Linked DNA regions of Sus scrofa. The protein of the gene in region 5 interacts with the protein of the main gene of each other region in a pairwise test. Links are inferred from orthologs where the notes say so. Each region holds a gene or a part of one and is shown on either strand. Other genes may lie near its edges. The genes, in order: FRMD8, UBE2Z, MBIP, HSPB7, PLEKHF2, MEAF6 and LDOC1.

What was found.
Region 1: the proteins of PLEKHF2 (region 5) and FRMD8 interact in binary tests that used the Homo sapiens proteins (3 or more experiments, as listed by UniProt). The two-hybrid records come from large-scale screens. The link is inferred for Sus scrofa from reciprocal best matches to the Homo sapiens genes PLEKHF2 and FRMD8.
Region 2: the proteins of PLEKHF2 (region 5) and UBE2Z interact in binary tests that used the Homo sapiens proteins (3 or more experiments, as listed by UniProt). The two-hybrid records come from large-scale screens. The link is inferred for Sus scrofa from reciprocal best matches to the Homo sapiens genes PLEKHF2 and UBE2Z.
Region 3: the proteins of PLEKHF2 (region 5) and MBIP interact in binary tests that used the Homo sapiens proteins (3 or more experiments, as listed by UniProt). The two-hybrid records come from large-scale screens. The link is inferred for Sus scrofa from reciprocal best matches to the Homo sapiens genes PLEKHF2 and MBIP.
Region 4: the proteins of PLEKHF2 (region 5) and HSPB7 interact in binary tests that used the Homo sapiens proteins (3 or more experiments, as listed by UniProt). The two-hybrid records come from large-scale screens. The link is inferred for Sus scrofa from reciprocal best matches to the Homo sapiens genes PLEKHF2 and HSPB7.
Region 6: the proteins of PLEKHF2 (region 5) and MEAF6 interact in binary tests that used the Homo sapiens proteins (3 or more experiments, as listed by UniProt). The two-hybrid records come from large-scale screens. The link is inferred for Sus scrofa from reciprocal best matches to the Homo sapiens genes PLEKHF2 and MEAF6.
Region 7: the proteins of PLEKHF2 (region 5) and LDOC1 interact in binary tests that used the Homo sapiens proteins (3 or more experiments, as listed by UniProt). The two-hybrid records come from large-scale screens. The link is inferred for Sus scrofa from reciprocal best matches to the Homo sapiens genes PLEKHF2 and LDOC1.

The regions. Positions count from the first base shown.
Region 1 is NC_010444.4:6,837,327-6,841,194, forward strand, and holds part of FRMD8 (FERM domain-containing protein 8), read right to left. Parts: intron 469-3,868; coding exon 367-468; intron 71-366; coding exon 12-70; intron 1-11. UniProt on the Homo sapiens protein: Promotes the cell surface stability of iRhom1/RHBDF1 and iRhom2/RHBDF2 and prevents their degradation via the endolysosomal pathway. By acting on iRhoms, involved in ADAM17-mediated shedding of TNF, amphiregulin/AREG, HBEGF and TGFA from the cell surface.
Region 2 is NC_010454.4:25,128,443-25,132,310, reverse strand, and holds part of UBE2Z (ubiquitin-conjugating enzyme E2 Z), read right to left. Parts: intron 2,781-3,868; coding exon 2,669-2,780; intron 1-2,668. UniProt on the Homo sapiens protein: Catalyzes the covalent attachment of ubiquitin to other proteins. Specific substrate for UBA6, not charged with ubiquitin by UBE1. May be involved in apoptosis regulation.
Region 3 is NC_010449.5:63,657,760-63,662,105, forward strand, and holds the start of MBIP (MAP3K12-binding inhibitory protein 1), read left to right. Parts: upstream 1-1,463; 5' UTR 1,464-1,548; coding exon 1,549-1,677; intron 1,678-4,346. UniProt on the Homo sapiens protein: Inhibits the MAP3K12 activity to induce the activation of the JNK/SAPK pathway. Component of the ATAC complex, a complex with histone acetyltransferase activity on histones H3 and H4.
Region 4 is NC_010448.4:75,171,887-75,176,430, forward strand, and holds the start of HSPB7 (heat shock protein beta-7), read right to left. Parts: upstream 3,033-4,544; 5' UTR 2,929-3,032; coding exon 2,733-2,928; intron 2,210-2,732; coding exon 2,076-2,209; intron 470-2,075; coding exon 290-469; 3' UTR 1-289.
Region 5 is NC_010446.5:41,531,829-41,536,130, forward strand, and holds the start of PLEKHF2 (pleckstrin homology domain-containing family F member 2), read right to left. Parts: upstream 3,105-4,302; 5' UTR 2,953-3,104; intron 2,701-2,952; exon of another isoform or gene 2,616-2,700; intron 1-2,615. UniProt on the Homo sapiens protein: May play a role in early endosome fusion upstream of RAB5, hence regulating receptor trafficking and fluid-phase transport. Enhances cellular sensitivity to TNF-induced apoptosis.
Region 6 is NC_010448.4:93,582,458-93,586,325, forward strand, and holds part of MEAF6 (chromatin modification-related protein MEAF6), read right to left. Parts: intron 568-3,868; coding exon 480-567; intron 344-479; coding exon 298-343; intron 1-297.
Region 7 is NC_010461.5:115,578,928-115,583,449, forward strand, and holds LDOC1 (protein LDOC1), read left to right. Parts: upstream 1-1,694; 5' UTR 1,695-1,908; coding exon 1,909-2,349; 3' UTR 2,350-4,202; downstream 4,203-4,522. UniProt on the Homo sapiens protein: May have an important role in the development and/or progression of some cancers.

The DNA.
Region 1 (3,868 bases), on a different chromosome or scaffold from region 5:
CCTTGCCTCACCTGGAGCTCCCGCCGTTTTGGGAAAAACACATTCCTTCGGAATTGCAGGGAGGGCTCATCTGGGGAGAAAAGAGGGGCTCACTGCCAGCTCAGCCCCTCCCCTGAGGGCCAGGTCTCCAGTCCCCAAGCCGCCTCCACCCCTTACCCAGAAAACCCGAGGGCTGATCAGAGATTGGGGGGTGTGGCTTACTTTAACGTGTTCGCTGTGCCCCCACCCACCCCTTCCTGGGCTCCCCTGGGGATCCCTCCCTACCCAGGTGGGAGAGGCCAGCCCTGCCCCTTGGCCAGGGCAGCACCACCTGCTCCAGACCCAGGTGGGCCCCTGGGACAGGGATGCACGGGTAGCAGCACTGACCCACGGCCACGTCATCGTCCGGGGCATCGGTGAATCGCAGCAGCAGTTCTGGCCATTGGCGGCCCAGCTTGTAGGGCTGGTGCTTGGGCTTCAGCTGCACCTCTGGGGGACGAGAGGGAAGCAGCCATGAAGCCGTGGCCGTGAAGCCCCAGCCAGTGCAACTGCTGCCCGCTTACAGCGGCAACAATGCCGGCAGTCGTGGCCAGTATTAACCAAAGGAGGTACTAAGCATCCAGAAAGAACTATTTCCAACGGTTCACAGCACTGGCCCTGCAATAACGCTACCCTTATTTCACAGGAAAAAATGAGGCCCAGAGAGGTTAAGGAGTCACAGAGCAAGTGAGAGGGAGTCAGAGCCAGCCTCTGACTGTTCCCTGCAGTGCAAGTGTGGCTGAGAGGCTGTGGCAGATGGAAGGAGCTGGGGGTGGCAGTTCAGATGGCTCCGGAACTGCCGCTAGGGAGCAGAGTCCAAAGCTGGTAACTGAGGCCCAAAGGCCCAGAGGCTGTTCTCCCTGCTCCCGGCACTGCCTGGGTCCCTCCTTCGCCAGCCCTCATCCAGCATCTTCCCTGGGGGCTCCAGCTGACCTTCCATCCTGCGAGCTCCCCATCTCCACGGCCCACAGGCACCATGCCATCCAGCTGCCCAAATGCATTTCCTTCTCTCTCTTCCTCGCCACTCTGCTCCTGCCTTGCTAGCTTTCTTTCAACATTCCAAGGGTCCCTGTTGGTTTGTGCTTCAGGGCCTTTGCACATGCAGTTCCTTCTGCCGCTGACACCCTTCCCCCAGATCCTCCGATGGCTTGCTGGCTTCAAGTGTCACTTTCCCTGGACCCCTAACTAAGGCAGCCCCTTCCTGTTACTTGTCACACTAATGGCACTTTTTTTTTTTGGTTTCCTTTACCACTACTGGGGGTCACTTCACCGTCTCTGCACCACTCACAGCCCCTCATCTCTGGGCTGCCAGCTGGCCCAGGGCTGAATGCCCCAGGCCAGGAAGGACAAAGCAGGTTCATCTGACGGCCGCAGTGCCCCTGGCCTCTGGGAGGTCTGAGGCCAACTCTAAGTCCATGTGGAGATGAATGCGGATGGCTGCCGAGGGCACAGGAGCCGATGGCAACACCCACACCCTGTACCAGCCACCCCTTCCCTCTGACCTGTATCTTCCCCTTTACCCCTCACCCCTAACATCGGAGGGCTGGGTGCCTTGTCCTGCCAGCCTGATGCTAAGGATGCTCATCTCTGTTCTTTGAGCTTCCATCTGGACCCTGATCTTTTTTTTTTTTTTTTTTTTTTTTTTGGCTTTTTAGGGCTGCACTTACGGCATTTGGAGGCTCCCAGGCTAGGGGCTGAACTGGTGCTACAGCTGCTGGCCTGCACCACAGCCACAGCAACTCAGGATCTGAGCTGTGTCTGTGTCCTACACCACAGCTCACGGCAACACCAGATCCTTAACTCACTGAGCGAGGCCAGGGATCGAACCTGTGTCCTCATGGATCCTAGTCAGGTTTTTAACCCACTGAGCCACTACAGGAACTCCTGGACCCTGACCTTAGTCCAGGACAGCAGTCACAGGCTCCAAACTGGCCTCCTCCCTGCCTACGACCCCTGCATTCCTGCCGCCCTTACACCTCTTTCTTCCATCATTTCCCTGATTCAGAGTTCCCAGCAGCCCTCATTGCCTCGGCCACACCCATCTGTCACCACCCCTGCCCAAGCGCTCCCAGGAGGGGACGGTGCCACCCGAGTGCTCTCTCCATCTAGACACTCACAGGGCGCCGGGCCGGGAGGCAGGGGGACCATCCACTTTAGAGGCGGGAAACTGAAGCCCAAAGAGGGACAATGTCCGCCTGAGGCCACCAGAATCAGTGGCTCCACCAGGAACTGAGCTCTGCCCCACCACCAACTTTAGACTTTGAGTCCCCTGAGGGCAGCGACACCTGCAGTCCTGTTCCCAGCGGACCCCCCCCCCGCCCCAGCACCTAGATCTCCGCCCAGCCTGAGGGGGGGTGGGGCGCTTGCTCTGCACATACTTGTGAGATGAACGAGGTGACGGGCTAGCTGGGACCCCTGGGACGTGGTGGGGAGGAGGATGTGGGGCAATCCTATGGCTCAGCCCCACCAGCCCTACACCCGGATCCCCAGCAGCTCAGAGGACTGCCGTGATCAGACCGCGACTGCGCCGGCCCTGTGGTCCCACAGTTCCAGGTGGGGCCTTCCTGCCTGGAGGCTGTCTGTCACCGGGATGAGACTGGCAGTCCCTGGAGCCCTGTTCCGTGCAGAGTGACAATGCCACTGAGAAGGTCAAACCCTCCCAAACATCTAGCTGGAAGGGCGGCTCCAGCAGATGGTACCCCCTTGCCCTGGGCCCTGGGGCATGTGTCACTGCTACACCCACTCTGCGGGTGGCGCGGGTCCAAGAGTTCTGAGGGGCCTGAGTCAAAGCTGAGGTGGCCTTTCAGCCTTTCTGAACCCAGCCTGGGAACAAAGTGGGCGCTGACTCTGTGCTGGGGCCTCCTGGACAGGGCGGTGCCCCAGGGCGACCCACCAGCTACACAGGCAGCCCATTCATGTTCTTGCGGCGGGGCGGGGGGCAGGAATGTGAAGAGGAGGGTGTGGGGGAGGAAAGAAGCTGCCCAGGACAGGGCCAGGGAGCACGAGGCAGGGCAGGGGCGGTCATACAAAACCCCCTGCCCTCGCCCCCAGCTTTCCAAAGACACAAGCCGAGGGGCCCACAGTCCTGACCAACAGCCAGAAGGTTGAAGGAGGGGCAGCTGAGCTGGGAGGGGAGCGGCCGAAAGAGACCGGTCAGCAGGAAAAGGGTGGGCGAGAGCAGCAGCTGGGCAGGAAGCACCCACTGGCGGGTGGGGGTGGGGAGACAAGCACACCCTCCCCCGTCCAGCCAGCAAGATTCTCCCCCAGGGCAGAGGCACAAGGCCCTTCTGGCCCCTGATCCTCTTCAAGGGAGAACATTGAAGCTCAGAAAACTTGTCAGGCCCCCACATCATTCGGAATATCCTCTCCCCTGGTCCCTTCCTGCCCAAGCCAGCAGGCTAGCGGCCCTGTTCTGAGGCCCCAGGCAGCTCCCCGCCAACCCCCTTGCCCCTGTCCCCCAGGCCTGAGGGTCTGGAGAGCCCCCAAGCCCACTCCACCCCCGCCTTGGGATGGCAGCCTCAAGGGGCAGTACAGGGTGACCACCAGCCACAAACCAGGCAGCGCTGGAGGCCCCTGCAGAGAAGCTGGGCTCCCAAGCATCCTGCCTCCCCACCCTCAGGAAAAGTCTCCTCCTGAGGGGTGGCTGCATCCCAGGCCAGGTCCCACTGTCCCTCCTGCCCCCAAAGGGCAGGATGCAGTTCTGGGGGCCACCCAGGCTTCCACTCTGATCTTGGTTCTACCACGCACTGGTCAAGCCCTCCGAACCTCAATTTCTTCACCCGCATGACCAGGCTGATCCAAAGGATAAGGTGAAATTATCTGTAAAATGCCAGCTCAGGTTGTGGTGCTG
Region 2 (3,868 bases), on a different chromosome or scaffold from region 5:
AGAATATGACTATAACAGCTTGAGTTCCTGCTGAGGTGTGGGTTCCATCCCTGGCCCGGCACAGTGGGTTCAACGATCTGGTGCTACTACAGCTGCCGCACAGGTCACAGCTGTGGCTGGGATGCAATCCCTGGCCTGGGAACTTCCATGTGCTGCAGATGTGCCATTAAAAAAATAATAAGAGACTTCTTTTTAAAAAGCAGTTTTAGGTTTACAACAAAATTGACAAAGGTACAGAAACTCCCCATATATCCCCTCCCTACACATGCATAACCATTCTCAACACCATTCACCAGAGTGGCACTTTTGTTTTGTTTTTTTTTTGCGGGGGGGGGGGGGCTCTCACGGCATATGGAGGTTCCTAGGCTAGGGGTCGAATCGGAGCTGTAGCTGCCAGCCTACGCCAGAGCCACAGCAACGCAGGATCCGAGCCCTGCCTGCGACCTACACCACAGCTCATGGCAACGCCGGACCGTTAACCCACTGAGCAAGGGCAGGGATCGAACCCACAACCTCATGGTTCCTAGTCGGATTTGTTAACCACTGCGCCATGACGGGAACTCCGGCACTTTTGTTTTTAAGCCAAGGGACTACACTGACACATCACAATCACCGAGGTCCATGATTCACCTTAGCGTTGACTTTTTTTTTTTGAGACCACATCCGAGGGATATGGAGGTTCCCAGGCTAGGGGTCCGATTGGAGTTGCAACTGCCAGCCTACGCCACAGCCATAGCAACGAGGGATCTGAACCACACCTGTGACCTACACCACAGCTCGTGGCAACGCCGGATCCTTAACCCACTGAGCAAAGCCAGGGATCGAACCCACGTCCTCATGGATGGCTAGTTGGGTTTGTTAACTGCTGAGCCCATGAAGGGAACTCTTAGCGTTCACTTCAATGGAGTAGTGTTGCAGAGTCCATGGTTTGGACAGAAGTATAAGACATATATCCATCATAACGTCACATAAACTCCTTTCACTGTTCTAAAAGACTTTTTTGTCTTTTGTCTTTTAGGGCCACACCTGTGGGATATGGAGGTTCCCAGGCTAGGGGTTGAATCAGAGCTGCAGCTGCTGGCCTACGCCACAGCCACAGCAACACAGGATCCGAGCCGTGTCTGCGAACTATACCACGGCTAACGGCAATGCCAGATCCTTCACCCACTGAGCAAGGCCAGGGATTGAACCCGCAACCTCATGGTTTCTAGTCAGATTCGTTTCCACTGCGCCACAATGGGAACTCCTAAAAGGCTTCTGTATACTGAGTACTCATCTTCCCCAGACTCCTGGCAACCACTGATTTTCTTCCAATATTGAGCCCATTCCCAATGATCCTGCACAGCAGCCATCTGGAGATGGGCCGGGAGGGAGGTGGAGAATGACACATGTTGGGTATTTGTTTATAGAAAGGCCATGAGTTGTGTGTTCCTTGTCACAACGAACCCAGGTTTCTGTTGGGTGTGTTGTAAACAGAGAAGCCATTTCTTCAGGCCTCTTGCTCTGAGCACACCCCAATTTTTGCTCGTTCTTAAAGGGTTATCTCCCTTTGCTTAGATCTATAGAAGAATCACTAATGTTAGTGTTATCTCAAGTAGTTTCAAAATGAATTAAGCTGTTTTAATCACCAAAACGGAATTATTATTATTTGGGAATACCAGTGGAATTCTTTTCCTGTGCTCATGAGTAAGTAACCCTGGAAGGAGCTTTGGAACAATAAAGATTTTGGGTTCCTAGGACTACATCCTGATCTGTGTTGTTCTTGTGAAAGCTAACTAATCTCTCTGAGTCACCATTACCTCCCTTGAAAATGGGGATGACAATTATTTATCTTGCAGAGTTGCTATGAGGATTAAATGAAATGTTACATATAAAAGCTTGGCAGTGGCTGGCATACAGTACACCTTTGGAAAATATGAGTTTCCTCCACCTTCTCTTTGGCAGCACTGACTAAAATGTTCTTGCACTAGCTAATGACTGCTCCTTTTGCTCTGCAGATAACAGGACTTCATAACTCCAAAAGAAGCAGTAGTCACTAGGGAGCACTTTAAAGGGATACTGGAGGGAGTTCTCATCGTGGCTCGGTGGGTAACGAATCTGACTAGCATCCATGAGGACACAGGTTCGATCCCTGGCCTTGCTTAGTGGGATAAGGATCTGAGGATTGCTGTGAGCTGTGGTGCAGGTCACAGACATGGCTTGGATCCTGTGTTGCTGTGGCTGTAGTGGAGGCTGAAAGATGCAGCTCTGGTTCAAACCCCAGCCTGGAAACTTCCATATGCTGCAAGTGTGGCCCTAAAAAGCAAAAAAATAAAATAAAAATAAAGCAACACTGGAGAACAGAAGCAAAGAGAAGAACCCACTAGCTGCAACAGCCCCCCAAACAGGCTCAGAATCAATTTCCAAATGACTCCATCGACTTCCACATGGTAGATTAATCCAAGTCAAATGGAAATAAGTTGACAATGCTACTGTAACTTAATAAGGAAAAAAAAAAGTCATCATTAAGGAGCACACATGCCAACTTCTTTTTTTTCCAACAGCGAGAAAACAGAGTTTAGCATATTGGGGTGAGCCGGTCAAAAACAAAACCAAAACCCTCAAGCAGACCTTTCATCTCTTAAAACCCAACCCTGAGCATCCCAGAGCTAGGCCTACCTGGCCTTACCTGCTCAAAGCCGGGTTCATTGTGATAGGGGTTCTCAGTCATCAGGGACTGGATGGAGATGAGCACAGAAGAGATGCTCTGGGCTGGGCTCCAGGCAGGGCCAGTCCACGTACTGCAAAACACAGCAGAGGGAAGGGAAGAGGGTGAGGCAGAGAGAGATGGGGAAGGACATTCAGAAAGACCAGTGCACACGTATCCTGGGGCCTGGCGGCACCATCATAAGTGACTCACTTTCTCTTTCACTATTAATACTCTGGAATTTCCCAGCCTCCAGCTCATCCTCATTCACCAGAAATCAGTCAACTGTCTAATCCTCTTACCAAGTGGGACAAAAGAGGGTAAAGCAAGCAAGGTAACTTTGGAGGGATTTTCTTTGGGCTAGAAGAAAAACAGTGGCCAGGGAAGGTTCCCTTTTTCGCAATGAAAGAAATAAGGTAAAAAACAGCCCCAAAGGCAGTCTAAATGTGAACCTCTATGGATCACAAAGAGTTATTTATGGGTGGTGAGGGAGTCAGTGAGGAGAGAGATGCTGAGTGCAGAGGCAGAGAAGGGACCGCAGCTATCCGTTTAGAGGCCATGTGGTGGGGCTGATAATCAGGGATCCAGCTCTCTATCAAGCCCCCAAAGAGTATCAGATTCTCTGAAGATGACAGAACTCTGCCAAGGGACAGAAAGGGGATAAGGCGCACTTCTGGACTGCGGAGGGTTTGAAAATGATACAGGAACATCTTCAACAACAGAAAAACACCAAAAGTTGCTCCTTTCTTTCACAAACCTGATGGAACACTAGGATGAGGAGGGAAGCTTGGACATTAAGAATATTTATTTTAATTTTAATTTTTTGTCCTTCTAGGGAGGCACTAGTGGCACACGGATGTTCCCAGGACAGGGGTCGAATCGGAGGCCCAGCAAGGCCAGATCCGAGCCGCGTCTGCGACCTACACCACAGCTCACGGCAACGCCGAATCCTTAACCCCCTGAGTGAGGCCAGGGATCGAACCCGAGTCCTCATGGATACGGGTGGGGTTTGTTAACCGCTGAGCCCCTGGGAACTCCCAAGGACGGTTACTTTTAGTTCAGTCAACTGAAGAGCTGGCACCTGAGTTGGCAGCTGAACACAACCTGAGCTAGGACTGGCTCGTTCAAGTAAACTGGCCACTTCCCTTTCCCTGGCGGCTGGAGGAAAGGCCGGCAGGTGAC
Region 3 (4,346 bases), on a different chromosome or scaffold from region 5:
TCTGAAAAACAAACAAACCAACCCTTTATACCTAGAAGAAAACAAATTATCTGAAACTGGCTGGTAATATGTTATAAAGCAAAAACTTCCAGTTACCCCATTAGAATTATTCTCTAACAAGAGAACTAGAGGCCAGGAAAATACCTTAACATTGCAAAGACTCTTGGATTTAGGTTAACACGGGGAAGAGTAGCTTGAATGGGAAGAAGGTTGCTCAATTTGGGATTAGATATTGTGAAATCTGTTTCTGGATGTCTCTAGGCATAGGCTGGATTATAAACTCTATATCTTGCTGTGAACAAGGGAGCGGACGAGATTACTTAAGATCCTGTCAAGCCTGCTGATCCTTGGAAATGAAAGCCTAATTAAGAGGCTCCCTAGGGACAGGTCAAAGGCATTCTTTTATCTCTACTGCCCCTAATCCAAGTTCCTTGATGGTTTATTCCTCCCCTTTCATTCAGCCTACTCTAAAACTGAAGAATACACATTGTGCAAGTTTCCAACTCTGCTTCTCCTACTGTAAACGCATTAGACAATTAGAATTAAGAATTTTAAATCTTTCATCCCTCATATCTAAACATGATGTTTATTTTTCAAGTGGTTTTGAATAGAGTTTAACATTAAGCATTCGTCTAAACTTTTTTTTTTTTTTCAATTGGACAACAAAATTTTCAATGCTTGACCCCGGAATACTACAGAGCCCTTCAGATATCTTTTAATACAGTTATCTGGATAAATAATAACTTGTTGAATTTTAATTCGGATTTATCTTTATTTTCAAAGATGGTGTTCACGCAATTACTTATTTGGGTTAAATTCCTGTTGGAATCATGTTGACATTGTTTTCTTTGAAACAGTTTTAGATGAGTGTGTATACCATATCACTCAGAGAACAGCAACTATGCAAGTTTTAAAACTTGACAGAATTATTTTGCAGATTTAAAGTAGTATTCCCTTGATAGTAAATGAGGCATAAAAGAGGGGTATTTTGGGGGGGAGGTGGTTATATCCTCCTCTTTCTCTCATGAAAAAAAAGTGATGTTAAATTGTGTATAGACGAAAATGTTCTACCCAATTATGACAATTCTGTGTGTTTTCAGTGTTTAGAAATATGTGTGGATCCACTGCGTCCCTGACCAGCGATCTTTCTAAAGTGCCGTGGTAAAATCTCAACTTTAATTTGGTACTAAAACTCTAACATTTAACTACAAGTTTTCTCTTAGCAACACTCATAATCAACATCTAAGCGTCAAGCTAAGCTTCAAGAAGCTAACTCTCATTAGATAACGACTCCAAATCACCATCTCAAATATTGCAGCAAGCCAAGCCCAGGTTGGCAATCTCTTGCTCACGGTCCTTGAAGGAATGCTGTAGTTGCACCTTATTGGTGCACATGCTTGTCAGTCATGTAGGGAAGGTGGGGTCTTACAGTCTCGCTCTAAATGAGACGCAGTGTGTTTACATCATCGGGGAGCGACGAAGGCAGGAGAGGGAGGGGTGTGTTGTGAGCACACCTTGGTGCTGGTGGGGGTGGCCTACGAAAGTGTCATGGCTGCCGCCGCTGAGCTTAGTCGCGCGACCCTCGGTGACAGGAGCATGGAGCGGAGCTGCAGCCCCAACCTCTCCCAAGAGGTGGTCTGCGAAGTCTTTCGCTCCTTGCATACCCTTGCTGGACAAGTGAGTGGTGGGCTTTGGGAGTAGGGATCTGGGAACCGTCCGGCCCCTCCCCCTCTCCTTTCTCCGGCGGAGGCGGGGGCGGCGGAGGCCTGCGGGGTGTGGGACCCGGCCCAGAATAGCCGAGGCTGGGGGAGGAGCTCGGGCCCGGCCGCCTGTGGTCTAAGTGAGGCTGGCCGCGCGTGGGTTAGTTCAAGACCGGTTGCAGGCTAGATTTCTTTGCAACTCTTCTCCCCAAGAGCGAATGAGGATAGTGTAAGTGAAACCCCGCTAGGAGAGAAACAAGCTCGAAGAGAATGCGTGCGGAAAAGCTGTGAGGGTTTGGGAGGCGCCTAGCGCTGTGGATCCCTTTTCCTCCAATTCATTCATTATAGAAATTGATAGGTTAGTCTACGGCCTGAGATTTCTGGAAAAGCTCCCTCTCCGCCTTTTTTGGGTGATTTACCGTTAGGAGTCAGTTGGGTTTGTTTATTTCTTCTTTCTTTCTGGCTGTTGCTTGCATCTCTTCCCCTTTCAAAACGGGAAGGAAGAGAAAAGGAATTAATTCAACCACTTCTAGTGTTAAGTTGGATAAGTTATCCCTGGTTTATACTGTTTGCATCACAACTGTTGACAAGTTATTAAATATTAACTAGCTTAACTGGCTGATAAATAGCTTTTGTAGAAATATCATTATAGAATCGAACAAATAAAAGTGCTCTTTACTCTGTTCCAGTGAAGTCACTATTTCGTTTCATGATGTAAGATGTAAAGGAAATTTAAAATGCGAACTTGAAAATACCGTTTGTCTGCTTTTAAAAGGAAATCTTTTTTTAAATCTTAGATAGGATTAGGTATTTGTGTGGAAGATAATGGTAACATCCTTTATGAAAATAGAGCGTTTGATTTGTGAAAATTACTTTTAAAAGCCTTCGGTGGATGGATAATCAGTTTTTTAAAAGGTTATTTCAGTATTTTTAAAAATTCTAATATATTCTGACTTAAAAAGAGTATTACTCAAAATTAAATACACAATTTGGTGTAAGCGAATAATTATCAATAGAATCGGCTAAAAGAGTTGTTTTTCAAGGACTTAAATATTTTTTTGAGACAGGGACATTAATATTTCAGTGTCAAGACTTAAAACCTCTAAATGGTTTAAAAGTTTGAGAACTTTCTATGATGTGACTTTGGAACTTTAAGGTTTTTTTTTTTTTATATCCTAATGTCAAGATGAAAGGTTAATGCTCACCTGTAGTTTACAGACTTCCCCCCACTGATGAGATTTTTTTAAATAACATTAAGAAATAATTTAAACATTTTTGAAACAGTTGGCATACTGAATTTTTAAAACTTATTTTAACATTTTAAACATTCAACTATTCTGTAGGAAAAGTATGATTACAAATTATTTATGTCACCTCAAAAATGTTTAAATATTTGGTGAGTTTTATTGACAGTGAAGGAACCATTTATACAAGTGTTGGGGAAAAAAAATCATCTCATCAATTAACTGCTAGCCATTTTGATAATACTCTATATTTTGAGATGTATAAAGATAAGGATGAAAGCCAGAGTACTATACTTATAAAATTGCCCCTAGTGGGAATCATTATTTTTTTTTTGAAACTGGTTTAAGGAATTTCTTTAACTGTATGTTGTAAAATGCCTAGTTCATTCTATATAGTATCATTGTATTATTAGCTCTCCTCAATAGGAAACATAAAATTGAATGTTTAAACAGTATTTTCTATCCTAGATTTCCAGTTTACTAATTTTAACTTTATTACTTGCCTCTGGATTGTCCATTTTACAAGCTGAAGAGTTATTTATTATTAGCTTGGATTTTCATATTTATAAAGTTTTTACTGAAATGCATATTTTAAATGGTCCATATTAATGGCTGACTTATACATTTTCGAGTGAATGTTTTAGAGTTACAAGTTCTATAGCCTAAAAATGCATAGAATTCATATTACTAATAGGGAATTTGTTGAATAATAATTGAATGTATTGGGATAGTTTTAAAGTTAATTTTTAATGTTGTTATATGGTTTTCTTAAAAGACCAAGTATCTTGAATTTCACTTGAAAGCTTACATAATTCTGCTGTATTGAAATGAGACTATGATCCAAACATAAATTAATTTCTATAAGTTACTATTTGGTAAATTTGTTGCTTTGTCTTGGTTGAGGATTTGCATTATCCCAAAATGTATATATAAATTTGTTATAACCAACTATAGATCTCTTTGGAACTGTGAAAGTATAGTTTACTTTCATACATAAGTTGTTGTCTAACAAAATCTTTATAGGCATTAAATTAATTAAGATTAATGTAGCAATCTTAATGTAAAACTTTAGTTAAATTAATATAAACTCATCTGCTAGTGCAGCCTACACAAAACTTAGTTCCTTATGCTTGTCTGATATGGACTTTAAATATTCCTGGTCAAAGGGTGGAAATTTCTTTCATATAGCATTCAATATAGTGCCTTTGTGGGAACTTCATATCTTTTCAGTTTTTTGTACAGTGATTCATTCATCTTTTTGCTATATTGTAATCACAATTCATAAGATCTATATTTGAACTAAAGTAATATATCTTTATTTTTAGCAAAGATGACTAATTTTAAATAAATGATTTCTGGAAAAATAGGATAGTTAACTTGATTCTGTGATACAGTATATCTT
Region 4 (4,544 bases), on a different chromosome or scaffold from region 5:
CCCATTCTCCATCCCAATTCCTTTATTCTGGATTAAGTGAAAGAGGCCACATCTGGAATCCAGAGGCCACAGGTGAGGCGAGAGGGTCCCTGGCCTGCCCCAGGTGGAGCAGAGGGCCTCATGTGGGGGGAATGACCCACCTGGGGTCTGCGGGGGTGGGGGTGTCAGGGCCTGGAACCCAGGCTGAGATGTCCCGGAAGCTGTCACAAGGGGGGCAGGAAAGCCTCTCTAGCAGCCCAGTGGGGGAGAGGAGAGGGCGGTGGGGGCAGGGCCGGGGAGGGGAGGGCCCTCAGATTTTGATCTCCGTCCGGAAGGTCTGCTGGACGTGCTCCGTGTGTGGTTGGCGCCGGGCCCGGATGGTGAGGCTGCCGTCCTCCCGCAGGGCCGAGGTCACCGATGTGGGGTCCACATCCTCTGGCAGTTGGCACTTGTGAGCAAAGGTGTTCATGACGGTGCCGTCAGCTGCCAGCTGGGGAAGGGGTGATGGGTCAGGGCAGGCTGGCCCCCACCCTTGTACTGCTCACGACAGGCCGCAGCCCCGGCTGCGCCGTCTAACCCCAGCTGGGCTCCCATGTGCTGAGAGGTTCTGCTCTTAGGTGCAGAGGCCCTGCCTAGGGGCTGGCCAGGGTAGGATGGGCGCAAAGATGCTCAGCGGCGCTCCAGTGGTCCCAGGGGAAAGGCAAGGGGTTGGTGGGGGAGCTCCGAAGGAGAGGAGGCTTGGTGGCAGAATCTGGGGCTCCTGTGTGACAGGAGAAGGCACAGAGCAGAGCCGAGCCCTCCTGGATACCCAGACACATTGGTGTCCACCTCCGGGGCTGGGCTGGCAGCCCCTCCCCCACGACCCAGCCAGCACATGGTGTCCAGAAGAGCCTGGGGCGGCTGAGTCACTGGTGGGGGTGGCAGGGCTGCCACATGCTGCCCACTGGTCCTGGTGCCCATAGTCCCTGGCTTCCCCGATGGAGGTGCAGGGCATCCTCCCATGCTGGAGAAAGAAGCTGGGCTGTCCGGTGGGGTAGCTTTGGGCCTACCCTCTTCTCTAAGGAGCAGCTGTGGCTCTAACCCGCTGGGGGCAGCCCCCCTCCTCAGCCAGGGCCACACCCTCCTCGAGGGTGCAAGTCTCCTGGGAGTTAGGACGTAGAGGCCCTAGTGACACAGTGACCCTGAGATCCATGGGCAGAAGAATTGTGGGGTTTGGAGTGTGTGTGACCTTGAACTGCAGGGCTGCTGCCTAGCCTTGAGCTCCATTCTGGGGTCCAAGAGGGAAGACGGCTTGAGGGCTGTCCCATGGGGGAGCTCCTTCCCCCTAGCCGCCCAGGTGAGCCCCCCACCTGACCACACACCTGAGGGAAGAGCTCTCCTCTCACCCCCCCTTCTCATCTCTCACCTCCTCTTACGTCCCCCTCTCTCTCTCTTTTTTTTTTTTTTTTTTTTGAGCCACAGCAACGTGGGATCTGAGCTGCATCTTAGACCTACACCACAGCTCACGGCAACGCCAGATCGTTAACCCACTGAGCAAGGGCAGGGATCGAACCCGCAACCTCATGGTTCCTAGTTGGACTCGTTAACCACTGCGCCACGACGGGAACTCCACCTCCCCTTCTCATCTTTCACTGCCCCTTCTCATCTCTCCTGCCTCTTCTCACCTCTCACCTCCTCATCTCTCACCTCCCTTTCTCACCTCCTCTCACCTCCCCTTCTTACCTCTCACCTCCTCTCACCTCCCCTCTCCTCCCAGCCTCAGGTGCCCCACCCTCTGCCTCCTCCCGCCGCCCCCCATCCCCTGTGGCTTCTTCTGCTGCCCTGGGCTCCTGAAGAAAGGATCTGGGAATGCAACAGTGTAAATCAGCTACACTTCAAAAATAAAATAAAATTTAAAGGAGGATCTGGAAGCCTCCAGGCAGAGAGCGGCAGTAAAGGGGGCCCCGTGGCTACAGGAGCAAGGCCCCCAGTTTGTCCTGAAGTTTTAGGGGGCACTGGTTAGGGTGCAAGGTCCCAGGATGGGACATGAGAGTGGGGATGCTGGACAGAAGGTACCTGTGCGGAGCCCCCAGTCTTAGGGGAGGGGGCGGGCTCACCTTCTCAGCTCGCACCTCAATGTGGTTGTTGGAGGTGGTGACAATGATGTCTTCAGGTGAGAAGTCACTCACGTCCACTGCAAACTCGTAGGCATCGCCCAGGGTCTTGATGTTGCCAGGCCCCCCGGTGCGGGCTGTGGGGAGGGCTGCTGTGAGCTGAGCACAGGGCAGGCTGGCACCCAGGAGGAAGGTTTCTGGCTCCTTCTCCTTGGGGAAGGGGCGGCCCCCCAGGCCTGACCTCCCTCTCAACTGTGGCTCCTCAGCTGCCCTGGCCGTCCCTCCTCATTTCTCGAAAGCCACCTCTCCCAAGGTGGGGAAGGGCCTTACTCGGCACCGGTATATGACACTGTCCATAGCCACTCGTCCCAGGCCTGGACTGGGGATGCACCTTGCCCGCCCCCCCAACACATGCAGCTCTCCGGGGCTCCAGAGAGGGCCTGGCCACAGGGCCTTTGGCCCTTGGCACCTTAGCTGACCCCCAGGCCAGAGCGCTTCCTGGGAGGCCTGCCTGGGGCCACATCTGTCCTGGTGGCCCTGCAGCTGTGCAGCACCTGTTCCTAGCAGCTCAGCAGCCGCAGCTGCATGGGGTGGTGGCCTGGAGCAGGTGTCCCCTCCCCCGTGTGCCTCCCCTCCCCCACAGCGCCCCCAAGCACTTGCCTGGAAAGGCCAGGGGCTCTGAGTGGGGCCGCATGAAGCTGCCAAAATCCTCGGAAAACATGCTCAAGGCCTTCTCCATGGGTGGGTCCTGGGCCGGGAGGGTGTGGGAGGCCGAGGAGGACGAGGAGGAGGAGGAAGAAGAGGAGGAATGGAAGCTTCTCTCCGCTCTGAAGGTGGAGGAAGTCCTGTGGCTCATCCACGGGCAGGCGGCCGGGCCCGGGCTGGGCGCAGGGGCGGACAGGAGAGGGTGCGGACAGCCAGCTCTGGGGGAGCATGCGGGGCCCTGGCCGGCGGTGCTTTATAAGGCCCGACCGTCCCTGGGCGCAGGGCCAGCCCCTTGTCTACCAGCTAAATTTAGTCCTCTCCATGGCCCAGAGGAGCTGGAAATCTTCTCCAGTGAGACGGCCCTGCTGACAGTTCGGCCCAGGCTGCCTGTGAGGCTGAGCTCACAGTCCAGCATTCCAGGCTGATAACTCCGCATGGGGGGCCTCCCAGGGCAACGAGGTGGGGGCCCATGCTGTTCCCTTGCCACTCAGACCCCTGCCCCCCTGCCCCGGGACCTTGTGTGTGCAGGCTTTCTGTCTCTGTCTCCCCCATCAGACGGCAAGCTCCTTGAAGACATGGTTTTCTCTCTTTCCTGTCCTGTCTCCCCCAGAGTTCTAGCCCTTGGTGAGAGGGATCTGGGTGGCAGGTGATCAGGACAGAGGGGCCCAAGCCTCTGACTCTGGGGAGGACAGGAAATGCAAGTCAAGAGGTCAGAGGGGCGTAGAGGACCCCCACCTGCTGGACCCCTGTGGGAGGTGAGGGGTTCATCCTGCAGGACAGGCGATGTTCACAGCCATCTCTTAGGAAGGACGGAGACAGCCCTGAGTTGGGGGAGGGGGTGGAGAAGGTGCCACTGTTGCCCTGGCAGCCCCTCCGGGGACCCAGATTTCATAATTGTCCCCCCTCCCCCTCCCCCCGACTCTGGAAACATTAACGGACCCAAGACGAGAAAGCTCAGGCAGGGCTGGTGGTTGGGCTGGACCCAGGGGAGGAGAGCAGAGAGTTCTGTAAAGGTTGGTAGCAACCTAAAAACTTACATTCCTAGGAATGGTCCGCTTGACCTCCAGCTCAGGGGAGATGTGGGGGGTGGCAGGGGGCAGGGCTTCAGCAGAGAGAGGGGAAGGAGGCCCCCACAAGACAGTGGTTCCAGCTGTGACTCCTGAGGTGCCTGCTGGGCCCAGGCTCCAGGTGGGCCTCATCTGATCCTCTCCCTTCTTGGGAAGGGGATGTTCTTTCTTCCCATTTTACAGACAGGGAAATGGAGCCTCACAGAGAGCCTGGGGCTTGCACGTGGGTAAGGGGCAGAGCTGGGATTTGAACACAAACGTGTTTGATCCAAACTCTCCAGGAGGCCAGGGTGACCTGAATATTCATGTAGGGAGCCTGGCTGGCCTGGAACACCCTGAGAAGCCCCTCCTGTGCCCACCCACGGACCAGTGGAGCCAGGATTGACATCATGCAGGACCAAAGGGGTGAAGCGGGGGAGGGCTATTCTGGGAGGTTCCTGGGGCCTCTGCTCTTCTCTCCAAATCCTGCCCTTCCTCCCCAGATCAGCTCTGGTTCCTCTTCCCCCAGGGAGGCCTCTCGGATGGCTTCAGCCCACACAGGGGGTCCTGCCCAGATGTCTGACGTACTGGCAATGTTTGCCCAGCCTGGCACCTGAGTGTGGCGTGGTTTTCCTGTGTCCTCTGCCGTGACCTCTCTCCCCTGTCAGACTGGCAGTTCCCTGGGGCGGGGGCCTGCCTGTCTCCCCATTAGGCTGGGGGT
Region 5 (4,302 bases):
ATTCTCTTCCCAGGACCCCCCAAACTGAGCACACCAGTTTGTGGTTTTATGGATTGATTAAAGGGACAGTTACAGGGGCAGGGGATTAACCTCAAATTCTACAGTAATTTCATTACAGAATTACAGAACTCCTTCACCTGGAGAGGTTTCACAACTTAAAACAGCCCTCTGAGAGTATATCCACAAAGTCCATTTTATTCACTTAAGCCAACATACACCCTGCTATTAGGCATGCAGCTGGTGTACAAAGCTGGTTCTCAAAGATAAACTTACAAATAGAAAAGCAATTTTCACATGTTTTCCATTACGCCAGGCATTCTAAAACAAAATTCTAAGACAAATTCTAACAAAATAATTATTGGTAGAGAAATCAGAGTTGTTCTGTCAAAAAGCTTAAATATATAAGCATGACCTTCAAAATTTGTAGGCATTAATTCTATTTCCATGTAGTATAAACACTAAATACAGAGGCACTTTTATTTTTCTTATTTTTTATTTTTATTTTTTGTCTTTTTCCTTTTCTAGCGCCGTACCTGTGGCATATGGAGGTTCCCAGGCTAGGGGTCAAATCAGAGTTCTAGCCGCCGGCCTACGCCACAGTCAAAGCAACTCGGGATCCGAGCCGCATCTTCGACCTACACCACAGCTCACGGCAATGCCGGATCCTTAACCCACTGAGCAAGGCCAGGGATTGAACCTGCAATCTCATGGTTCCTAGTCAGATTCATTAACCACTGAGCCAAGACAGGAACTCCCAGATGCACTTTTAAATTATGATTATTATCCTTTTGTTGACTCACAGCTGTTGTTTCTTTGCTGCTTATCCTTCTGTCCATATCTACTCTGAAATTTCACAAACATTCAAGTTCTGTACCCCCAGACCAAAATTAATGAGTTGCCAAGGTAAATTCTCAAAAAAAAAAAAAAAAAAAAAAGGTGGTTAGAGAAGATTTAACTCTTCTGCCCCTGAAAGTGCAATTTAACAAGAAATTCATAAAGCGTATTTACAAGAAACACATGTGTATTTATCCATTCAAACCTTTCCTGAGCATGTGCTATGTTCTGGGGATGATGAGGCAACTCAGACCTGACCTAAACCTGCTGTCAAGAAGGTGCCATGACAGATACATTTACTGGGATGCAATGGGATAGATAGGTGAATTATTCTTGGGGAGAAAAAGAGGATGGGGTAAGGAGAACAGGGCAGAAGGAGCTTCTATAGGCTTGAGTGAATAATTTTAGGAGGAATAATTTCAGTACATGAACTCTCATAAACTGAGATTTCCTAAGAAATACTCCAGGAAATAGATATACTGAGAAACTAAATTAAAATCAGAAAGAGCAGCTAACAGACGAAACAAGGTGGAGAGAGACTACTCCACAGGAATGAGTTATATATCCTGCAGTTACGCTGTAAGAAAAATGAGAAGGCTTCAGTCATAAGATCTCACTTAAATACCAGTTTGGCTGTTAGATTTGAAGTTAGTTAAATCACTTTATTTGTAGGTAACTCTTCATACAGAAAAATATATACATATAATGGCAATTACCTAACAGTGGGGAAAAAAAGGTTTTTTTTTTTCTTCTAGAATTAAGGAAATTAGCGATCAAATCTGAGCCGAAGCTATATTTTTACCTAAAGATTGATAAGAGAAATTCTCCAAGATATGTTTAAGGGTTTATCTGATTTGTAGTTAAAAAGTCCTTTCAGTTCATTAACAGAATTTGGAAGCTCAAATGCCTTCATTAAAACTAGTAATTTACATTCACTTACTGGGGTGATTCAAGCTGAATCTTTTTTGATGCCTTGGTCAGTACACCAGTTTTATTTTTTGAGGCGATTACATGTGCTTTCCAAATAAGTAACTTAATACCATTCACCTCCAGTGCTGTGAGGACCCAAAGAGATTAAAAATAGAAGCTTTCCTTAATACCGAATTAACCTGAGGACCCCATGAGCTCGCAAAGGACAGAAAAATCTAAATGCTCAAAACACAGTAGGCAAGCACCTTTAAGGAACCAAAAGGAGGGGGGAAACCTCGCAATGTCAAGATCACTTCACCTTATTCTAAACAGAACACATGCCTTTGAGTCTCTCAATGTTCGTGTCTAAGTCCTTCTTTACTGAATTTGTTCTTCAGTGACGTACTGAAACACAACAAAGAAAGTATTTACCGATTTACAAACTTTGTGAGTCTCTGAATTACAGAGAAGAACTTGGTTATCTGTAACCTTAATACTACCCACGATTTCCAGTGCACACTCACAAGTTACTGCTTCAATGTCCTAAGGGCGCACAAGGATAGTCAAGCAACATGAAGAGGCAGCTCTCGGCCTTTAATAAAAATTTAAAAAATAAAGGAAAAATAAATTGGGCAAAAGACCATACAACTTTTAAAAGATTCCAAGTAAGTAAGACGTTAGAGCCAACGCTTCTATCAGGGTAAATTCTGCGGTGCCATTTTTGGCCGCCAATCACATAAAAATACGCTGTTCAGATTACAACGTCCGCGATGCCCAGACCCTGCAAACTTTTTGGACAGAGAGATGTTGGGGCCCTAAGATGCCATTGGCCACGACTGGGACCCCAGTCCCCGCGCCTCCCAACTTCTCACCCGATCTCAGGGTCCGCTTCGCGTCCGCCCGGCCCCCGCCCCGCGGCCCGGAGGACAGAACGAGCACCGGCACGGCCCCCCGGGCGGCCCCCGAGCCCTCCCGCAGCGGCGGCGGCGTCCTGCGAGCGGGCGCGGCTCCCCCAGGGCGAGGGGAGCGGCCGGGAGCGCCCCGTTTCTCACAGACCCCAACATGGCGTCGGCCGCCGCCGCCCGAGACGACGACACCTCCCCGCGCCGCCGACGGCCGGGGACCGCGGAGGGAAGCGCCCGGAAAGTTTCGCTTCTCCTCTCCCCGCCCGCCGGCGGCCGGTGGACAACCAACTCCGGCTTCACCTACCCGGCCGGGCGCGGACGGCGGCGGCGGCGGCAAAGGTCCGACTCCTCCTCGTCCCGAGCGCCGGGCGCGGACTCTGCTCGATCCTCCGCCCCAGCCTCCCAGAGTGGGCAGCCAACAGCGTTTCGCAGCCGGCGCGATCCAGACGCGGCGGGCTGGCGTCGAAGCCGCTCGCAGGTGACCCTCCCGCCCCTCCAGTCGAACCCCACAACGGCCGCCGGGGACAGCCTCTCCCCTGCGCGCGCACGGGCGCGCCGCCACCCACACGCCAGCCGCGAGCGCGGGCACGAGCACACCCACACCGCTCGCTCCCCGCCCTTTCTTGCCCGTTCCCTCGCCCCGCCCGGGCGGCCCCGCGCGACGAGCTCGAGGGGGCGGAGCCACCACGAAAGCCACACCCACCTGGGTAGCCAGGGCCTGGGGTTGGTTCCTCCGTGCTCAGTGGGAACGCGCGCCTTGGAGCCGATTGGGCGCACGTGGGACGTCTTACCTGGGCTGCCTAGCTGCGGGCAAGTCCTTGGAAAGGATTGTTCATCTGCCCACGAAGTTCTTAGCGAGGCTGGAAGAACGGAAGGAAGGCTGGGCCCCCTCTCCCACACCACCGAACTGGCCTGTAAGGGGAACTCAAGAACTTTCCACTGCCGGGAAATAAAAGCTGGGCGGACTTTTGTTTGCTACTCCCACTTTAGCACAGCGTTCCTGCCTGTCACATCTTCCACTGGCTTTTCCTAAGACCCCACCACTTGAAACAGAGGGAGCTGCGGCTACAACACACATACCCCATACAGTCTTTTAAGTGATGGATGACTTATTCCCTGACTTAGAACTCTGGTCTTTCCAAAACTTTTTCTCTGACGCCACAAACGTCATCCAACTTCACACATCTGAAAACAGTAATGATACCATATAAGGTTAAACCTGCCCTTCTTCATTTATAACGCAGCTAAGCGAGCTGACGGATACGTGGAGAGATGTTTAAGATGACTAAGATGAGGAATGGGGGGAGGAGACAGAATATTCACTTCAAACGGAAAGCGTATAGGCAGAAATTAGACTTGGGTAAATTTTATCTTTCCCGTTGATCTATTATTTCAAGGATATTTTACCTTTGATTATTCTTGAATTAGAACCACCGCACCCAAGCCACATAAAAGAGCACCCACCTAGGGATACATAAGCAGGAACTTTCTTTTGGTCTGGGATCCCCTCCAGGTATTCAGCCTCCCATCCTCACTTTTTCCATATCTCAGAAACAAGCAAGTCTTTTAAATAAAATTAGTAACTAGAAAAAAACTGCAAAACCGATATTTTTTTTTAATAGGAAAACGTAGACTATTACCACCAGAAAAACTT
Region 6 (3,868 bases), on a different chromosome or scaffold from region 5:
AGGAGCTCCTGTCGTGGCTCAGTGGTTAACGAACCTGACTAGTATCCATGAGGACTCAGATTCGCTTCCTGGCCTTGCTGGAGTAGGTTAAGGATCCAGCGTTGCCGTGAGTTGTGGTGTAGGTCGCAGACTTCCTCAGATCCGCCGTTGCTGTGGCTGTAGTATAGGCCAGCAGCTGAAGCTCTGATTTGACCCCTAGCCTGGGAACCTCCATATGCCAAGAGTGCGGCCCTCAAAAAAGACACACACACACACACACAAAAGAAAATTGATGAAAAAGTAAAAAAATAAACTTACTCTTCTCAATGAGCTGGTCCTGAACTCCAGCCAATGCACTTACTGCCTAAAAGAAAAACATCACCAGTTACTAGAAAAATTATCACAGACCTCAGGAGAGCACTCAGAGATGGAGGGAAAGAGAAATTTAACTGAGGTCTTTCTTAAAAATGGGCACAGAAAGAGCCCCCTGCCTCACTTACGGCTGCTGAAGTAACTGAGGATTTACTGAAGAGCCGCTCCGCTTCCTTAAACTTCCGGTTCCTTCGATCGTTTTTGCTATTGGAGTTTCTGAAATACACACAAGAAACTCATTATAAGCACCAAGCTTTGGTTATGGCTCAAGCTGAGGATGCCCTAGGGCAAACACCTATATATATATATATATTTTTTTTTTTTTTTTAATTACCAAGTTCCCTACAAAAATGCCTCCTCCATTCCACTGGGATTGACCAAAATGACATTTATGCTGAATGCCTAAGTAGACAGCAATGCTTTCCAATATACCTACTGTATGTGCTCCATTGAGATGGCTTTTGCTTTAGATTCACAATCATTTTCATTTTCTTTTATTTTGCCTTTTTAGGGCCACACCTTCGGCATATGAAGGTTCCCTAGGGGTCCAATCAGAGCTGTAGCTGCCAGCCTAGGCCACAGCCACAGCAACGCCAGGTCTCATGTGTGACTGCAAACTACACCATAGCTCATGGCAATGCCGGATCCTTACCCCACTGAGCAAGGTCAGGGATCGAAGGATTGAACCCATGTCCTCATGGATACTAGTCAGATTTGTTTCTATTGAACCATGACAGGAACTCCCACAATCATTTTTGTTTTAATATGTATTTATTTTAATACCTATTATTAAAAACATCTAGCACAGACTAATGATGTGAAGTATCTCTGTTAAATAACTTTAATTTAAAAAATTGAATCTGGCGTTGTGGTGGCTATGGTTCAGGCCAGCAGCTACAGCTCTGGTTCAATCCCTAGCCAGGGAACCTCCATATGCTCCAGGTGCAGCCCTAAAAAGATGAAAAAAAAACAAACAACCAAAAAATTTAAAGAGGAGATCCATGGTGTTCAATCCCCAGCCCCACACAGTGGGTTAAGGATCCAGCGCTGCCGCCACTGAGGCCTAGATGGCAACTGCCCCTCAATCTGATCCCTGGCCCAGGAACTCCATATGCTTTGGCTCGGCCAAAAAAGAAAAAAACTTTAAAGAAAGAACGAGAGTTCCTTAGAGAAATGACTGATATCAGGTCTGGGACAAGAAAAAGACAAAGTGGAGTTTCTCTGTGGTACCGTGGGTTGAGGATCTGGCACTGTCACCACAGCGGCTCAGGCGCAGCCAAAAAAAACAAAGAAAAAAAGAAAAAAAGAGAAAAGGACAAGGTAACAGAAAGCAGCAAAATGCTCAGAAATAGGATCACGTCAGAAAGACAAACAAATCAGCCTGCGGCAGCTCCCTTTGGCCAGGTTTAGAGCAAACTAAGCACCAAAAAGGATAATGATGGATGTGTCAGCTCCGTGAAAAGTCGGTGAGATGTATATCTATAATTCTTCTCTGTATAGATTTCAATATATTAATTCATACTAAAAAACAAAACTTCACAATAAAAAAGTGACAGTACTAGATCCCAATACACTGATTTAAAAAAAAAAAAAAAAAAACCCTGGGAGTTCCTTCCCATTGTGACTCAGCGCGTTAAGATCCCAACTAGTATCCATGACGATGCAGGTTCCATCCCTGACCTTGCTCAGTGGGTCATAGGCTCCATCACACTGCAGAGAGATGTGGTGTATGTCATAGATGCGGCTCAGATCCCACACTGCTGTGGCTGTGGCATAGGCCAGCAGCTATAGCTCCAATTTGACCCCTAGCCTGGAAACTTTCATGTGCTGCAGGTGCAACCTTAAAATAATAAGTAAATAAATAAATAAATCATCCATGTATCTATAGTGACACTAGAGACAGAATATGAAAGGGAGAGAAGATAAAAAGGGAAGACTCTTCTTTCAGAATGCCAGTGATAAATGAAAAGAAATAGTAAAATCAGAATCATCATTTTGCAACCTCCATTATAATAACTGCTTCAGATAAGAATCAACAATGGGATGGAGTTCCCACCGTGGTGCAGTGGTTAACGAATCCGACTAGGAACCATGAGGTTGTGGGTTCGATCCCTGGCCTTGCTCAGTGGGTTAAAGATCCAGCGTTGCCGTGAGCTGTGGTGTAGCTTGCAGAAGCGGCTCAGATCCCGAATTGCTTTGGCTCTGGCATAGGCCGGTGGCTACAGCTCCAATTAGACCCCAAGTCTGGGAACCTCCATATGCCATGGGAGCGGAGCGGCCCTAGAAAAGGCAAAAAGACAAAAAAAAAAAAAAAAAAAGAATCAACAATGGATATTAAAACCAGTGATAAAAATTAGAGGGGGCTATATTTTCACACTGCCTAAAAATACAACCTCTGAAATTACTTGTTAATTACAAAGAGAAAAAAAATGAACATTTACAATGGTGAAATCACATGATCCAACTTAGTGGGACTAGTAATGGGGCAATCTGACATGTGCCTCCTGATAAAATAGAGGTAAACAGCAGGAGGTATACAAATAGGTAATTAACATTTTTGCCAACAATGTTTAAAGGATCTCCCATTAAGTCCCACTAAGAAAAACCTGGAATTGGAACATTCTGCAAAATAATGTCACAGGGAGTTCCCTTGTGGCACAGTGAGTTGAGGATCCGGCGTTGTCACCAGCAGTGTGGGTTAGATCCCTGGCCTGGGAACTTTCACATGCCAAGGGCATGGCCAAAAAAAAAAAAAGAAAAAGAAAAAAGATAATGTCATAAAAAAATTCACCACCAAAAAGGGAGAGACGCTCCTAGTAAGAGACTAAAGAGACATAACAGCCAAAAGCAATGCACGAACACTAGCTGCATTAAAAAAAAAAAAAAAAGGTGGCAATGCATCTGGGGGACAAATCAGGGACATCTGAATAAGGACTGTGTATGAAATAATACTATTAATGTAGTGCTAATTTTCTAGGCATGATAATAAGTGGTTATGTAAGAAAAAAAGTTCTGGAGTTCCCGTCGTGGCGCAGTGGTTAACGAATCCGACTAGGAACCATGAGGTTGCGGGTTCGGTCCCTGCCCCTTGCTCAGTGGGTTAACGATGCGGCATTGCCGTGAGCTGTGGTGTAGGTTGCAGACGCAGCTCGGATCCTGCGTTGCTATGGCTCTGGCATAGGCCGGTGGCTACAGCTCCGATTCAACCCCTAGCCTGGGAACCTCCACATGCCAAGGGAGCGGCCCAAGAAATAGCAACAACAACAACAACAAAAAGACAAAAGACAAAAAAAAAAAAAGTTCTTATTCTTAGGAGGTAATTGCTGACACAATTAGGGGCAAAGTGCCACAGTTATCTGTTTTTAACTTTTAAGTGCTTTAGCAAATAATTATAATATGTATAATTATCATATATATAATATAAATGTATAAATACATATTTCATATATGTACGGAAGAGGAGATATAACTAACTACAAAGGAGTAGCACGAGAGAGCTCTTCGTGGTGAGAGAATA
Region 7 (4,522 bases), on a different chromosome or scaffold from region 5:
CTGTTTCTCAGCTTTTCACTTTCAGGGATACCCATTCAATTCTATTATAAAAGGACTGAATAGGGTTTAAAAATTTTTATTTTGCCATTTTTACTACATCAGTCATAATTTCACAATGAAAATATTCACGATCAGAGATAGAATATATTGGACAATTTGAAGAGTATTTCTGAACACTTTGTGCATCCACCACTTCGAATTTTTATCCTAACATCTGCACCCTGAGATTCCTTTATCCACCAAACCCTTATGAAGCTTCTACTCTGGGCCAGGCACTTTTCTTGCATTAGTGATAGAGCAACCAACAAAGCAAAGCCTCTGTCCACACAGACATTTTAAAGGGGAAGCTGACCTATAAACAAAGTGCTATGTGATATGATGGCTGTTAGTAGGATAAATGCTATGTAGAGAAATGAAGCAAGGCAAACGTTAGAGGTTACTGGCAGAGAGTGGGGTGCTCTGATAGATGAGGTAGTTAGGAAAGTCCGCTTTGAAAATGGAGGAAGAGTCAGGCAGTAAAACCAGGAGAACATTCTGAGGCAAAAAAGAAAGTACAAAGATCCTGAGGCCAGAGCCACTCAGTGTGTGTGAGCCTCAGCAAGAAGGACAGTGTGATGACAGCAGAGCAGGAACTGGGACAAGGCAAAGGGAGTGAGGCAGGGCTTGATAGGCCATTACCGAGACTTTGGTTTTTATTTTGAGCGAAGGGGGAAAAACTATTGGAGGGTTTTGAGCAGGAAAGTAAAGAGATCTAATGTTTGTCCTAAAGGATTCCTATATCTACTCTGGAGTATGTATATAATACACACACACACACACACAACTTGAGGAAGAGAAGAGTGGAAGCTAAGTGATGAGCTGCAACAGTCTGTGTGAGAAAGGAGGGCTGGCCTTAGGGTGGTAGTGCTGTTTAGAGATCCCCAGGTAATTAAACTGCTGATATATTTAAAAAGCAAAGCTAAAAAAATATATTGGCCCCAAGGTCCTCACCCTGACTTATTTGTCAACTATTTGAATAATCACATTCAAAGTAGAAAACAAAACTATTTTAAAAACACATGTGTTCATTGTTAAGCAAAGAACAATAACCAGTAGTAGGACATGAAATAGAGTCAAAGATAGGCAGGACTCATGCAAATGGTGATTGGATACTAACTTTTGCAGAACTTTTTACACTTTGCTATTTAAAAGTAATTTTAAACAAAAGGATAGAGGTACACAATATTATTTTACAACTAAAGAAAAACCTCTTTTTAAGTATTACTTTGTCATGAAAGACAGGACTCCTGAACGTCTTTCATAACTCTTAAAGGATGTGACTCCTGCGGTGCAGCCAGAATTGCTAATAGTTCTCTGAGTGAGGGAGATTTAAACACGCAAAGAAATGTGTTAAAACCACATAAATGGAATCTGGTGGCCACAGACCCACCGAGGAACATTGAGTCGTTTGGGTTGAAGGGTGGTTAATCCTTTAAACTTGAGCAGGTTAACCCTCTCTGGGAGATGGATCTTAGCGTTTGCTCGGCCTTGGCTAAGGCCTGGCCCGCATCTAGGGCTGGATCTCCCCCCACTGCCTTTATCCACGGGCCGGGAGAACTGCGAGCCAGCAGCCCGAGACCCTGCCCGCCTCCTTGCCTGGCCACGCCCTCCCTCTGTCCGCTCCACTCTGGCCACGCCCCTCCTTTCTCCAGTGCCCGCCTCCCTCCAAGCGGGCGGCGCCGGCGTGCCGGCCGTCAGAGCCGCTGTGTGGGTGGAGCTTGCGCAGCTGCCGGGACCCCTGCGCGCACCGCCTCTCGCCCCTGGCCGCCGCGCGCCTCCGCGGACACGCACTTCCTGCAAGGCCTCCTTGCTCACCTTAGCCGATCCGAACCGAGCTGAGCCCATTCTTGCTCTTACAAGCTGTTCGCCATGGTGGACGAGCTGGTACTGCTGCTGCACGCGCTCCTGATGCGGCACCGCGCCTTGAGCATCGAGAACAGCCAGCTCATGGAACAGCTGCGGCTGCTGGTGTGCGAGAGGGCCACCCTACTGCGCCAGGTACGTCCGCCGAGCTGCCCGGTGCCCTTCCCCGAAACGTTTAACGGTGAGAGCTCCCGCCTCCCTGAGTTTATCGTGCAGACGGCGTCTTACATGCTCGTCAACGAGAACCGGTTCTGCAACGACGCCATGAAGGTGGCATTCCTAATCAGCCTGCTCACCGGGGAAGCCGAAGAGTGGGTGGTGCCCTACATTGAGATGGATAGCCCCATCCTAGGTGATTACCGGGCCTTCCTCGATGAGATGAAGCAGTGTTTTGGCTGGGATGACGACGAAGAAGACGACGAAGAAGATGAAGAAGCTGATTACTAGGCCGGGAGACCCTCGGGCCTAGGGGGGTGGGCCCTGCACGCCGCCACCACCCCCCGCCCCGCTTCGCTCCTCCCGGAGCCGCGACACTTCCCTCGCTCCCTATCTGCTTCCCTAGTCTTCCTAGTCTTCGCTCTGGTTCTCTTCCTTATTCACCGCTCCCCCCCCCCCCCCCCCCCCCCCGTAGTGTTTGTCTTTGTTCTGGGAATAGTGCTACAGTTACCTGCTGCTGGGGCTGGGGCCTCTCTGAAGTGCGCTGCCTCCCACTCAGGCCAGTCCCAGGGCCCAACCCTGCTAATTTGAACTGTGTTCTGAGCCCCAACTATAGGGCAGACTGTTACAAACTGGTCAGACTACCCACAGCCCTGCCGATTGTCAGGCCTACATCTGCCCAAAGACCGACGCTGCCACCTAACCAACCTCCATCACATTCCAGCGACAGACAGACCAGGCCTTTGGAGACAAGGACCAACCTAGAAGATGCTTTTAGTTGGCTATACCACCTGGGACATTGATTTGGACTGCTCACGCCCACCCCACCCCCCCACGAGGGGCGAATCTTTGCACCTGGTTCGTTCCCTCCTTTCCTAACTCATAGAGTCTTCTCCTGCCTCACCAGGTTGCTGCAGGGGCCCGTTGTGCCTGGCAGCCAAATTATTGACATTTCTCTTATGCACCAGTTTTGCACAACTGTCATTTTTCTTTTAAAACTGAAGCAGTCCCACAGCTGTGTGCATTTGGACAAAAATACTAAAAACAAAAACCAGACAGACAAAAGCAGGTACTCAGCCCAGCTCCTCAATACTACATAGAAAAAGCATTTGCATTCTTTTCAATAAATATCAAGCACTACGGAAAAAAAAGAGCGTCTTTTAATGGTTAAGTGCTATCATTGGCCTTTGCCACTCTCACCCTGACTCCCATTATTCCTACTGATATCAGAGAGCCTAGTTCAATCCCATTATTCTCTACTGTCATGTCTGGGCAATAGAGGACTGCTACTACAGAGCTTTATAGGGAAACTGGTGCTCCCCTCACCAAGGCACTTTTTAAAGCCCTGGTGAAGTGAGTGTCCTCTGGGGCTTCCAGGATGGGATGAATAAGGGGTAGTTGAGTAGATGGCACACCATCCCAAACTGGGACACTCGAGAGAAAAAGGGGGCACTATTACTAATCGGAATGGGACAATAGGCGTACATCAGGGCACATACCATATTCCTGTCTTCCTGAGCTTTTGGGTTCTTTCTCAGCCCTGCCAGGCAAGTGCTGCCTCTTAACTCTTATTCCTTGCAGGGTGCTGTTTGAGTTCAGGCTTCCATAAACAAGGTAGCACATTGTTTCAATACCGATTTTAGATGCTTGAGCTAATGTTAAATCCTGAGTCCTGGGTAAATGCACCCATAAGTGGAGCCAGATTTTAATGTTTCATCCTCCTTGGGCAGATAACCCTTAAGATCCCCACCCATCTGTGTGCCCCAGATTCCTGCCTGTAGAAATCGACAAGATGCCTGGCTATCTCCCATACTAGATCTTGTAATGCTGTCTGAGCTGTGCTGAGATCTTTTTGTGGGCCTGGAGGGCTGGAGGCCCTAAGGGAGTGGGGTGAGTGCTGAGAATAATCTCTACTTTTGTGAGCCCATAACCCCAGGTTAAGTCTTTGAAATGTTAAATCAGGGAAGCCTGATTAGGGGATTTGTGGGGCCTATCGCTGCCAGCCAGGAACTGTCAGGAGGATTTGAGGGGTTCAGAATTCTGATTCTTACATGTATCTGCCCAGATGTCTTCTGTACCATGCCGGGAACCAGCCCTACTTTAGAACCTCTAATTTAGATAATAAAATTCCTTCTTGTTTAAGACCTTTTGATGCTGAGTGTTTTATTTGTACCAATAAACCTTACATTGTGGGTTCAATGAGATACAGGGAACAGGTCTCTTGCTGTTGAGCTGGGCTTCAGTAGGAAGGTGTTAGGAGTGAACAGGAGCAGAATAAGCTCAGCAGAGAGAATGGAAATGAGAGCATGACAAGAGTTCATTTTTACTCTTTGGGATCTGACATGAAGTCAGATAGAAAACCAGTTTACTTGGTGAACAGACAAAGTCTAGAGCAAGAGTCATCTTTTGGACCTAAGAAAGTTGTTTCTGTAGGGTGGGGACAGGGGTAGATAGGACTTAGCAA